2 linked regions of the Arabidopsis thaliana genome follow. The protein of the gene in region 1 interacts with the protein of each later gene in a biochemical or structural test. Each region holds a gene or a part of one and is shown on either strand. Other genes may lie near its edges.

Region 1 (6,312 bases):
ACTAAATTAGGACATTTCAGATCAATTAAAATAGAATGAAATTTTGATAATTAATTAAGTATGTGTATAAAGAAAGAAATAAATATATTGCATCGTTTTCCAAATTATAGTGATTGACGAATAAAATATGATTTTCCTTATTTTAGAAGGTTAATCGTGGTATTTAATTAAAACACCTGGTTTATTTATGATATAACGTAGACATGTCAGTTCAAATATTTAATTAGTTGATTACAAAGATAAGTACATGTCAACCTAAAATTTAATATCATCATTTCAACCCAAAAAAAACCTGAGATTATATATAACGGATCATTCAATGCAAGATGCTTAATGCCACCGTCACGTAACGAAATAATTGATTTGCTTCCTTTTTGGTTAATAAATATTAAATAGATCAAATGTGTACACTTTCTCATGACTTGTTAAATTGAGAAAGTGATATTCGTTATGATTAATGGACGCCTAATATTACCTTTAATGGGCTAAACTCAGGCCTACAAACTTGGCGGGTAAATTATAAACATTTCAACGGCGTCAAAATTTCGAAGTTAAGGCGAATTTCATTGTTAACCATGATGAGTCTTGAGGTCAAGAGCATTCCTTTTTTTCATTGGCAAGTTTTTTTTTTTCTTTTTGTAACCATTGAATAAAATTGACTAATTATATAATCTGAGAAAGAGTGGTTTACAGAAGAAAAATCTAAGGACCAATGTTTTATTTTGTTACTTCCACATTCTTCGGCATAATGTTGTCTATATTAACCAATCAAGACCATATTTTCCAATAACCAAAGAGATTCCTTTTTTTGTTGAAGAACAATAAAGACTAATGGGACCGATTAAGAAGTTTAAGAAGTATATAATCACCACGATATTCTTCTCTACGGTGAACTACGCTTATGGCAAATTCAAAGATTATGGAGCCAACAAGATAACCGAAACAATAACCGGGACTGACCCGCAATCAGACTAATCCAAGGCGATCTTGTTCTGGAGAGTTACAACTAAATAAAAGTCTTTCTTATATCATTGCAACGTAGTTCATATCAGAGCCTGGACTGAATAATACTTACATAAAAACTAGAGAATCACCTGGTGGAGGAAGATGTGGTGGTTAAAGATCTGTCTGAAGTGTTGTCTATGATGCTGCGCTGTAACTAATTGTGCCTATGTTCCGGTGTGCTGCTACTGCAACCGCTGCAGCTCCTGCTGGACCAAACTGTGATTGTGCCTGCAACAGCTTAGCATCAATGGCCATATGTGTGTTGTTGTTTAATTGATCTGTCTTCGGGAGCTGTGGTTGAAAGTAAGGGTTTGGGTGGTTCATAGTCTCAACGTCTGCTTGGTTAGTTGTAGCAGCTGGTGGCTCAGTGGGACTGAATTGGTGGACAGGATTTTGTGGCTTTGGTGGAAAAGACGAAGCTTCTATGTTGCGGTTCTCCGGGTTTGTCATGGTGTTTGGTCGGAAGTAGCAATGAGGAGATGAAACCGCGCTTCTGAAATAAGCTTCTTTGAGGTTCCTGCCATTCTCATAAGATACAGATGATTCCACAACACGACCTGGTCTACCTGTAAAACATAGGGTGAAAGTTAGTTGAAGTTTCTAACTTTAGGAAATAATATTTGGAGATATGATTGAGACCTGATGGTGGAACTCTTGGTGGAGGTCCGATGGATTTAGTAGGATACGCGGAAGTTGATGGATGTCCTGCAGAAGAAGCTCCATTTTTTGAAGGCTCGAAAGAAACACGTCTACTATCTGTTGCACCCAAGTTGGGTTGCGAGGTGGAATGGACTACAGTTGAGTGAACCGTAGACCTGTGGAAAACAATCATATCTATTAGAATTAGAAGAGTAGAGAACATATGAAAGTTTTTAGAATTAGAAGAGTAGAGAACATATGAAAGTTTGCTTGAGGCCTTCGACCATATGCTTCACAAATGCTAAGCAGTAGCAGAAGAAAGAACAAAAGAATAAGCATATTCCCTACAGTCGACTTGTATATAAAGAATGAGAAAACATACCGCGGTAGTGATGCGTGTTTCCTCTCGAGAGGTATGACCGGCCCATTTCTACTGCTATTTTCCTCTAAGTAAGTGAACTGCTGTCTAAGATGTCCAATGGCGCTGCAAGTGAAAAAGTAAAAACATGAATAAAAAGCCAGGCAGAGGTACGCGATTGGACATAAATTCAACGGGAGAAAGAAACAAGAAATGTTTCATTTGGTAAATAATAATAAAAGGTAGGAAGAAATTCAAACCTAGGATATACAAAATTAGACCCCTCAGATCCGCTCATATAGTCCTTGAGCAACTGAGGATGGTACTCCAGTATTTCTCTGTATATTAGTTCTCTAATGTCGTCCTTTGTCAACCTTCGCCTCTCAAATTCAAACTCCATTTTCGAGATTTGCTGACTTGAAGGTTCTCTTTCAATCTTAGAAAGACCCTTGAAGTAAGGATCAGCTAATGCCTATCGAAAAACAAAAAGATAGCAAAGTAAGCAGAGAGATACACACAAGACGCAAGGCAGCTTTACAAAGAGGACCGAAGAAGAATCTAATTACAAAGTGAAAAAGACAGAAAAGAGACCTCTGCAGGAGTCGGTCGATCCTTTGGATCGAAAGCCAACAGCCTCTGCAAAAGACGGAGTGCTAATGGATCTGCTTTGGAAAATTTTTGCGAGAAGGTGACAGGATTTTTCTTCCTCATTTCAGTCAAGTATTTTCTAGCTTTATCATTACGAACCTGCATCAGAGAAATAAATGTTTAGCTATACAGTTCAATATATATACGTACTCCAGAAATTAATGTGAAGAAGAAAAACGGATCATACTCCAGAAATTGTTTCTGATTTTGGTGTGCCAAGAAGATCAGTAATCAACTCCAACTGATGGACAACACTTTTTCCCGGAAACAATGGCTTCCCTGTTAGTACCTCTGCAAAGATGCAGCCAATGCTCCAAACGTCGATAGCTGGAGTGTACTGCAGAATAATTTTGACTGTAAATCAGATTATGATGAAAAAACAAAATCCATGAATATGAAGTTGCAGATGCAAAAGAAACCACTCAATGAACATAACCTGATACAAGGTTACCTGATTCATAGATTTTCAACTTCGGGGAGAGTTCAAGTCATCCCTGAACAAGAATTATTTTAATATCCCACTGGGGCACAACTCTATACTTATACAAGTAACATCAAATATCAGCTATTAACACTAATCTGCATATATTCTACACTAAAGAAGACTAATCTGTTCATAAGACCTAAGCATAGCCAATTAGAATGCATAGAAGAAATCCACAGTAACACCTACCTTCGAAAAGAATGATCCACAGAGCTCAGGTGCTCTATACCATCTTGTGGCAACATAGTCCTGCATTGCGATTAAATGAGTCAGAGAGAAAAATCAAACACACAAATTAACGGCTAACAAACAAAAGGTCTCCTCCTCGAGGCTACTAACCGTCCAAAAGACTGTCGTAGGAGTATCATTAAACGCTACTCTAGCCAATCCAAAGTCACAAACTTTCAACTTGCAATTTGCGTTTGCAAGTATATTCTTTGGCTTAAGATCACGGTGATAAACATTAGCTGCATGAACAAAAGGATAACAGTAAGTTACAACCAGAAAAAATACAAAACATGCTGCCAAGATTCACAGGTCTGAAACAATGAAACGAATCACACCTGTATGCATGAACTTTAAAGCACGAAGCATCTGATAAAGGAAAAACTGGTGGTGTTCACGAGTCAAATCATCATTAGCTTTAATAACTTGATGAAGATCTGATTCCATGAGCTCAAACACAACATAGATATCTTTAAACTCTCTCTTAGAAGGAGGCAGCATAATGCTTTTGATCTCCACAATATCAGGATGCCGTAAAAGCCGAAGAAGCTTCACTTCACGGAGAATACGAAGCGCATCAGAAATATGTTCAAAGACATCATTAATCTTCTTAATAGCAACTTTCTCTCCAGTATGTGTATCAATAGCTGCACACACAACTCCATAGCTTCCTTTACCAATAACTTCCAGAATCCTATATCTGTTTGCATCACCATACTCTGTGAAAAACTCCATCTCTTTCGTGCCCTAGTGAATCACAAAAGTAGACAAAACACAAACTTTATCCACACATCTTATTTATGCTCATGCAACAAAACCAAACCTAATTGCAATTGAAAAAGGAAAGATTTTATTTTTTTTGTCTTTAAATTTGTAAAAGGATAAGACTTTATCCTCTGTTTCCCACATTTAGAATCAAAGCATGATTGAGAGAGATAGAGAGCAAGAAGCGAACCTTCTTCACTTGATTTTGTTGCATCTTCTTCTTCAAAATTATCAAAAATCTGGATCGGCTTTTCGAAAAGTAAAAAAAAAAAAAAAACCTAGATTGCTAAGAATCCGAAAACTAGAAGAACTCAAAATCAAGCCCAGTCTGTGAAGAAGACGATACAGAGAAGAGCAAAACCTAGATCCAGCGATCGAAGAAGAAGAAGACGAGAGAGGATTTTAAAAATACCGAATTTGAGATATTTTTTCTAAATTTGAATAAAAATAATTTCTAATTCTAGCAATTTCTCGTGGTACTTATTGCGTACGGGTGTGACAAATCCCAGATAGTGGCAGTTTCGTAGTTTTAGACAACATTTGAGGGTAAAGTAAATATTGGTTTTCTCCCACTGTGGTCTGTGGACGACCTTTTTGGAAAATGACCCAATGGTTTAGACACCTGTTGCTGGACTTGGACCGTTTTATTTTTCTTAAATTCCGATTTTGACCCCTATCTTAATTTTGTTTTGATTCTAACCATTCTTTTTGATAAGTGGTCAATTTAACCCCCACGTGATAGTATTTCTCGTACCACTGAAAGGAATATTATTAACATTATCTCAATTTTGCTTATTATATTCCTTGATTTAAATTTTTAAGATTGAAAAATCTATATACAATTGACTAATTCATATGTAAATAAATATTGTTGAAGGATATTTGTCTTAGATTTTAATTTATTTTGGTAAAGACGATACACGATTAATATATTAGGATAAAATACCATCTTTGATGAACATTTATTCCATGTAAATCAACTAACCTTGAGAAAAAGACCTTCCAAGTGTCAAGTTGTTTGCTTGATACTATGGGATGATAAAAACAAAATCAAAAGAAAAAAAAAAACTGCCATCCTCATTGGTATATGACTTAGTATTTGATAGAAAATAAAATAAAATAAATAGATTAATAATTTTGCAATTCGTGTGAAACTAATATTCACATGTCAATTTACACAATTTGGCTTTTGTATTTATTGAAAAGACCAACATATTTAGTGTCTGGCTCATATTAAAAGTTTATCACAATAGGGGCAAATCCACAAAAAGGTGAAGATTATGATAATATTATAACTGATCTTGATTAAAACAAATCCAACATCTTATTATTCATTTGTATCTGAGGCATTCAAATCCAAAGTTGGTTCATTATCTAAAGTACAAAATATCATAATTTCAAATTATCATACTCCATATAATTTCACACTATACGACGATGTAGGTGGTGCATGTGTCAATTTATTGTCAATATTTTAAGGCGTTATAACTTATAACTAAAGTTGATCCTTTTTGCATATTTCATTGCTTTTCATTTTCTTCTACTTTCGGTTTTAAAATCATAATTTTACTCTCTTTTGACTAAGTGCGCATTTTAAAATAATTATCGGCCAAAGATAAATATAAATGATGGTTGACTGGTTCTATCTATTTAGACCAGGCTCTGCATAATATATATAACCAGCATATCTATTTTTAAAATAGTTTTAATGGTTTTTCAAAATGATATATATAATATTTTGAATTGCAAGTTTAATAATTCGAAGATATATATATATATATATATAATCATGAGTCAGAATTCAACAGAGTGGACACAATATTACCATTCATCACATGAATCATGCTTTTCGTGTATGTATGTTTTAGAGTTTTGACTGGAGGAGCCAAAATATCTCCACCAAGCAGATTTATTTTGTTTGTTTATTTATTTGAGTTACATCTTATTAAAATTCCATGAACCATATATAATGATAGAAGAAAAAAGGGATCACCCATAAATAATGATAATTTGTGCACAACTATATATTATTGTTTTCTTAACTTTTGGTTGCCAACAACTCTATATTATTAGTGCAAATATAATAATGTTGATGAATAAAAGACAATGCATCCTAATAATAAACCAAAATATAATGTGTAAATGTGGTCCAGTGAGAGAAGAAGTTGCATGTGGTAAAGGGCACACA
Region 2 (6,899 bases), on another chromosome or scaffold:
CGCTTAAGATATAATATCAGAAATTTTTTTGAAGGAGTTCATTACAAGTTCATTGGTGCTTCTGATGTGCAACTTTCCCATGAAAAAGAAGGCAGAGAATAAAGTGGAGATACAAAAGCAACTTAAAGGATGACTTAAAGGAGAGACTAGTCATTAACAAAGGAATGGATAAATTAATAAGTAGTTGGAAAAAAAGCTAACACCAAGTTGGTCCACAAAGACGATCCACCGTTATCAGATTTCCCACATAGATTTAACATCAAATTAGATTTGCATTTATGTTCCCCAATATTTCAATCAATTTTTACTTTGTCTGCTTTCCATAGCCATTCTTCATACATATACCACCTCATGATTCCTTCATCTTTCTCCGTCGTCTGGCACATCACGCACGTCTTGTACTCCATACAAGTCACAAATGAAAGTTAACAAGAGTTCACTTTCATCAATGTGCACGCCGGAAAGAATGTCAAATTTTTTTAGTTTATTATATCGAAAATGAAAGGGAACTTTTGTTTGATTACGCAATCAATTTTTTAGTTTTATGACATTTTTGGGCCAAATCTTACTTTCTTAACACAAAGCACAAGGGAAAAAGAGTTACAAATGTTACATTAGCTTATTATGACGTTTCCCAGTGACTTCTATTCAGCTTTTCGGCTTTTTATTTACTTGCGTATACAAGTACAAAGATCGTTACAGTAAAAAACAAAACAAAACAGATCAATGTTTTTGTTCAGAGATGTACGATTAGAGAGACTTTAACCGGGACAAACCATAGATAAAACCAAACCGGACTCTCTAACCAGGATGAGATTGGAAAGAATTGGAACTAGCACTTGAGCCACGGCCAGTGCTGAGTTTAAGAGCCTCCAAAGCCTTTTGAATCTCCATGTTCATTGCACTGTCAACACTTCCCGAAGACAGTTTCCTGTGAGATTTCTGGAGATGAAGCTTCAAAGAACTGCTGCTTAGACCTGCGTTCTTTCCACAAACCGGACACACTTTCATTGTCGGTTTCCTCTGTCTCCACTCCATTGATACTTTCCCGTGACATTTCTTGTCGAGGTTTATTAAGATCCGCGCAAATCCATCATTCGGTTGAGCTCGTCTATGAACTTTCCTCAGTTTGCTCCATGCTTCTAAAAGTGTGAGCTTCCTATTTATTGTTCCCACCAGTAAACAAATGAGAACAAGTATTGAAAATTTCCAACAAATTTTATTTGTCCCCAACAACTTACTTTTGGAGCATTAGGTAAGCAAGCACTACTGTTGCGCTTCTACTCCGACCTTCGAAGCAATGAACTAAAATCTTGCCACCAGTTTCTTCGCCATGCTTGATGAAATCGAGAGCTTCTTGAAAGATGCTCTCGATATTTGAGTCTTCATCATCGGTTATCTGGTCAAAGGGAAGACACAAGAAGAAAACGATCATCTTTATAGATGCATTTTTTTTTACCAATTCCTTTTAAGAGACATATAAGACAGGTTCACTTACTGAGAAGTTTTGGTACTCGAAGAGATCCGGGTATTGAGTATCCGATTGCCCGATTTCATTAGCGCACAAACATAGAACATGAGTTATACCTAAATGCTGAAGAGTGTAAATCGACCTTGCAGCCAATCCTCCCCCGATAAAAAGATTTTCTTGTATCATTGATGGTTTCTCTGTATTAGCAGCTTTGCTAATCAATGATATCCTCTCAAGAATATGCTCAAGTCTAACCTGTTATCAAGGAGAATGCAAACAAGAGAGACAATGTTTGAGTTCAGTTGCCAAAAACTATATTATATAATGAAGATCATATTCAGGATAAAAGGAAATAATAAAACTTCATGATACCTTTAGCTCATAAGCATCTGTGCAACTGTTATTATCACTGCCCTCAAAAAAACCAGTGTTGAAACCGTTCTCTTGGCAAAGTTTCATCACTTCATTCCGCAGTGTTTCATTCCACTGGTCTAGTTCTTTATTAGACTCAGCATCAACCTGGACGCACCATGAAAATATTGAGAGTGAAGAAAGAGAAAATGGCTGAGAACTTCCATCCAAGAAGACAAACTTTTTTTTTTATAAAAAATCTGAACCTACTTTACAAATTAGAACATAGTGATCAAAGCTCGAAGCGACAAACCTTTGCAAACTTATGGAAGTCACGGAGCTTTGCTGCCAAACGCTGACTGCTAAGAGATTCTCCACCTTTACCGGATCTTCCGTGCCAACTTTCACGTGACTTAGGCGAAGACCCGTCTTCTTTGTTTTCTGAATTTGGTGTCCTAGGAACTGATTTTTGCATATCTGACTCACTGTGATCAGAGCTGTTATCACTAGGCACCCGATCTTTTGAGGGAGATGGATAATGATTCACCTCATGCCCATGAGTATGTGAAGGTGACTCAGGAACAGCAAAGTCTTCTCTGTCAAAATCTGCACACATTGTTTTGTCCATCATACTAAAAAATGCCCGAAGCAACACATCTAATTTCTGATGAAGGGTGACAAGGAAGATGTGAAACTCTTGCAAATCCCTGAGACCAGCTCGGAAACCATTTCGAAACTCGCGTACAACTGGTGTTACTACAGATCGAACATTAGATGTTTCTTCACCATCTTCTGCCTGTGGATATCCTAAACTTCCTTCTGTTATTTCATGTAACAAATTCGAAGAATATTGGCTACTATTGAGGAGTAACTCAACTAATCTTGGATAAATTTCTTGGTCGCTTGCCCGTTTTCCAGCAGGAGGCCGCCGTGGAACACCCGAGTCTATGGCAACGAGGTGAAAATCGGCAGCTACTGATCTATCAGACATTGGACTCATTAAACCAGTATCATATGATCTAGGTGATTCCGTTATATCAGAAAAATCAGAAGCCTGTGAGACCAACATTTGATCACTGATACTCAACCTGGATCTGCTATCTACGGAAGAAGCTCTTCTTTCCCTTTGAATGGATCTATAGTCCTTTGGATGGTACCGTTTGATGGCGGAATCAAAAGCTTCATCAAATGAACATTCATGATGCTTTGCAGAAGACACAATTCTGTCTGTCAGTAACAGATTTGCCGGGTTGCCACGCCATCTCAGCTGACGACACGGTAATCTGTCTTCATTCCTAATTACTAGATCTAACACCAAGATTCTCCCTAGAGCTGCAGCAGCTCTCTCTGCTTTTTCTTCAGTTTCAAAACTACTCATGCTCTCCAGCATTGGACATCCATGAACATAACTGTAATCACATATAGAGAATCCTGGGCTAAGAAGAGGGGTTCTATACAAACATCACATTAAAAATTGTAAATTTGAAAGTGCCTACATGATCCTATTAGGTAAGACTAGATTTTACATAATCCTATTAGGTAAGACTAGATTTCTGTTCAGCTATTTCTCTCATATTTATTATCATTTAAAGCAAGATTAGATTTCTGTTTAACTGTTGTTATCAAATTTTATCCAATAAAATAATTCCACCTCATATTTGTAATTTAGATCTTTCTTATTTTATAATACAATTTTTATATCTAATAACATAACATCTTTTATTTTTCTTAAAATATATTATCAAATGGTATATTCATATTTCAAATGGTTTACTATCATCTAGTTAAACACTAATGCAAAGGAACAAAAAAACTGTCAACATTATGCTGCTGGTCCAAGTAAAAAATGGAGAAAAGTGATAAAGAATAAAGATGAATCTTGTGCTTTCACCTCATTAAGAGAAGACAACGGCTGAGCTCAAGGGCTTCCAGAAGTTCTGAACATGTCATTTCACCAACCTCGTCCCCCTCCGAAGTCGCTTTAGCTTGTGCTTTTTCAGTGGCTTCTTTGATCAGTGTCCACTCAGGATTACAGCTGTGAATTACTCTAGCCTGTCGCATGATGATTACTCATTACTTGAAAATTCTAGAAAGAAAGTGAAATGAGCAAAACCATTACTACATTTTTAAAAAACTACAAGAAAGAAAAGAAGCACCTGCGGAATCTGCACCCCTAGCCACTTGGAAAACTCATAACCTAGACGTTCTGATTGCGTGGCCATCCTCGATGATGCAAATTTAATAACTGCTGCTTCTTCCTTACGAGAGGCATCTTCAGAGCTGGAACTATTGAACAGGGCAAAGAAAACAACTCCTCCAGAATTCACAGTAACCTGTACAGACATCTAATAGTGTCAAAAGATCCTCCTAGCATCACCAGTCCAAGATCATAATGATATATATACCTCAAGTGGTTTACTCTGGTCTTCTTCAGAATGATCAGTGCTACTACTATGTTCAGTATGATGAAGTGAAGACAACATATTCCATGAAAAACAGCTCGAATCAATATCCACAGTAGAAGCTTTACCAAGCCTTTCCCACAAACTAATCTCTGAACTCTGCCTACTTGGTGGACTTTTAGGATCAGTATTCCTCTCTCCTGCACTGGATAATACTTGTATCAACTGACATGAAGACTAATATCCTAATTTAGAAACCTTTGTTCTGATATACTCATAAGATTCCAAAATCATAATCAACAAACCAAGTACTTGACAAAAAGTCAGAGAAAGTGTTAACCTAGTGACCATATCATCGATGCGGTGAAGGCGGTGAGGGAAGCCAGAGGATCCGTAAGTAGCACTTCGTTTACGAACTAAATCCAACCATTGAGTAAACCTATAAGCTGGACCAGATGCTATATCTCCTAACATGTACAAAACCTGCAAATTCCAAAAGTCTTCCAATTTTTAAGACGAGACTATTAATATAACCCTAAAACCTAAAACGAATTTAGGATCGGAGAAATTTACACGAGAAGTGACGGTGAGAGGAAGAGGAGACTCGTGCTCGTCGTGAACAAGGTATAGATCTTTCTCTTCGTCTTTTTCCTGCGATAGCACCATAATATCAGATCAGAGAAAAAGGGGAAAAAATCAAAATCAAAATCTGGCTCTGCGAAAAGAGGGAGAGATAAATGTGGGGGTAATGATGAACGCAAAAGGTGGGGGTGATAATGATAGATTATTAAATTTGTGGGGGAAAAATGAAGGATGATTACTTGAGAAAATGGTTGATCTCGCTTCTTCTCAGGTTCCGCCATTGCAAAAGCTTAGGTTCTGTTTAATTTTAGAAATGTCTTTTTCTTCAAATGTCAGCTTTGTATCTGAGAAGAGGAAAGTCTCAAGGTATCTTTAATTAATATGAACTTGTCGGACGAAGAAAGAAGACGGATATTTAATTTCATAAATTTATTATTGTAATAAAGACTCTGATCATTTTATTCTCATTATTCAAGATTTAAAAAAATAAACATATTATTATTTACAGAACTGTCTTCTAATTTTATTTTATTTCCGTTTTGTGTTATTATTTAAAACTATATTTTGTATGAAACTATTTCGGTCGAAATCAACAACATTTATACAAAAATGGTTTTAGATTTTAAAAAATATTCACTAAAGTTTATGGTTTAATCTGAAAAAGTTCAGTCTAATAAAATAAAATATTTATAGAATTTTTTTGTCAACTTATTTCTGAAAATTAATAAGCATAAATATTAGTAAAAAATCAAAAATATATACTTTCTTTGTTTTACAATATAAATTGTTTTGGACCAAATTTTTTGTTTTACAATATAAATTATTTTCAAAATTTTATGCAAATTATATATTATTTTAATACTTTATAATTATTTCTATTTTTAAAAAATAAATTGAATTTTTTAAAAATAAATATTTTTAATCTACATGTTTTTATCTAAACCAACTTGTATAGCGAAATCTCATATTGAATTAACAAAAATCCTGAACAATATGTACCAATCCACTTCGAGTTACCTTTTGTTGTGTATTAGTTTAGGCCCACACTAATATATTTGACTTTCTTCTCTGTCTTATATATTTAGCTAAAAGCAGACCTAGGGTTTTCGTATCCGTTCCAGTCACGGACGACTTCTCCGTTCTCTGAACTCTCCTAAAGCCTCTATATTCATCGGATTGTTCATCTCCAGTAAACCAATCTCCAGGTAAATTGAATCTGAATCTTCACCAAAATCCTTTGTAATCTCAGAATCATCGATTTTATCACCTTCTTATAGTATAGATCAATCCTTTTCGTAAATCACACGAATTCTCTCAATTACCGTGTCACAATTCCGATTGATTTTTGCAGTTTGGTGAATTTGTAAGAATGAGTAAACGAAAACGTCCGGATCCGAAATCATCGGGAGGTGATCTAAACGAGCCACACGAGAAGAAGCTTCTGGATCTGATTCGAATAAACCAAGGAAGAGGCGCAACTATGTTCGAATTGAAACGCGAGAAAACGATCCCAGCAACTATAGTTACTCGATTGATCGCTTCTCTACGGAAGAAGAATCTCATCAAAGAAGTAGCAAACATGAACAACAAAGGTGTCAAACATTATCTTGCAATGGAGTTTGAGCCTTGTAGTGAACTTACTGGTGGTGAATGGTACACTGATGGAGCTCTTGACCTGTCGAAAATCGAAGATTTGAAAGCCAAGTGTGTGATGATTTTGGAGAGGCATAGGCAGAGGGTTGTTACTTTGGAGGTTTTGTGTGGGTATTTTGTTAAAGAGGAGAAGCTGAGTGTTGATCAGACTAAGGAGATACTTAAGAACTTGATTTTGGATAATTTGATCATGGAGGTGAAGAGTAATGGAATGAATGAGTTTGCTTCTACGAGAATCGGAGAAGTTTGCTACAGGTTGACCGGGAAAAAGTTCGGTAATGGCGAACCGAGAGCTGGAGCTTTTGCTTCGATTCCTTGCGGGGTTTGTCCGCATATAGCGATCTGTTCACCTGATGGTGTTATCTCTCCCACTACATGTGTTTATTTTCAGAAATGGTTAGACTTTTAGCACTCTCTTTTTTTTTTTTTTTTTGGGTTTA

The links. Proteins that work in one complex are often made in the same cells at the same time.
Region 2: of the proteins of MPK18 (region 1) and PHS1, one has a biochemical effect on the other in vitro, tested with the Arabidopsis thaliana proteins (one study listed by BioGRID).

What each region holds. Positions count from the first base shown.
Region 1 is NC_003070.9:19,969,821-19,976,132, forward strand, and holds MPK18 (mitogen-activated protein kinase 18), read right to left. Parts: upstream 4,574-6,312; 5' UTR 4,339-4,573; coding exon 4,315-4,338; intron 4,107-4,314; coding exon 3,698-4,106; intron 3,602-3,697; coding exon 3,474-3,601; intron 3,384-3,473; coding exon 3,324-3,383; intron 2,988-3,323; coding exon 2,838-2,987; intron 2,750-2,837; coding exon 2,594-2,749; intron 2,475-2,593; coding exon 2,263-2,474; intron 2,129-2,262; coding exon 2,027-2,128; intron 1,821-2,026; coding exon 1,645-1,820; intron 1,572-1,644; coding exon 1,141-1,571; 3' UTR 514-1,140; downstream 1-513. UniProt on the Arabidopsis thaliana protein: Mitogen-activated protein kinase (MAPK) that is specifically regulated by PHS1 and MAPKKK20 and mediates signaling that regulates cortical microtubule functions, maybe through regulation of microtubule dynamic instability.
Region 2 is NC_003076.8:7,996,497-8,003,395, reverse strand, and holds PHS1 (dual specificity protein phosphatase family protein), read right to left. Parts: upstream 5,200-6,899; 5' UTR 5,088-5,199; coding exon 5,046-5,087; exon of another isoform or gene 4,891-5,045; coding exon of another isoform or gene 4,876-4,890; coding exon 4,798-4,875; intron 4,708-4,797; coding exon 4,565-4,707; intron 4,430-4,564; coding exon 4,228-4,429; intron 4,156-4,227; coding exon 3,979-4,155; intron 3,875-3,978; coding exon 3,714-3,874; intron 3,232-3,713; coding exon 2,136-3,231; intron 1,991-2,135; coding exon 1,844-1,990; intron 1,727-1,843; coding exon 1,499-1,726; intron 1,400-1,498; coding exon 1,242-1,399; intron 1,160-1,241; coding exon 802-1,159; 3' UTR 548-801; downstream 1-547. Other genes in the region: AT5G23710 (DNA binding / DNA-directed RNA polymerase), read left to right, coding at 6,176-6,868. UniProt on the Arabidopsis thaliana protein: Probable dual specificity phosphatase that binds and dephosphorylates MPK18, modulating the organization and dynamics of cortical microtubules.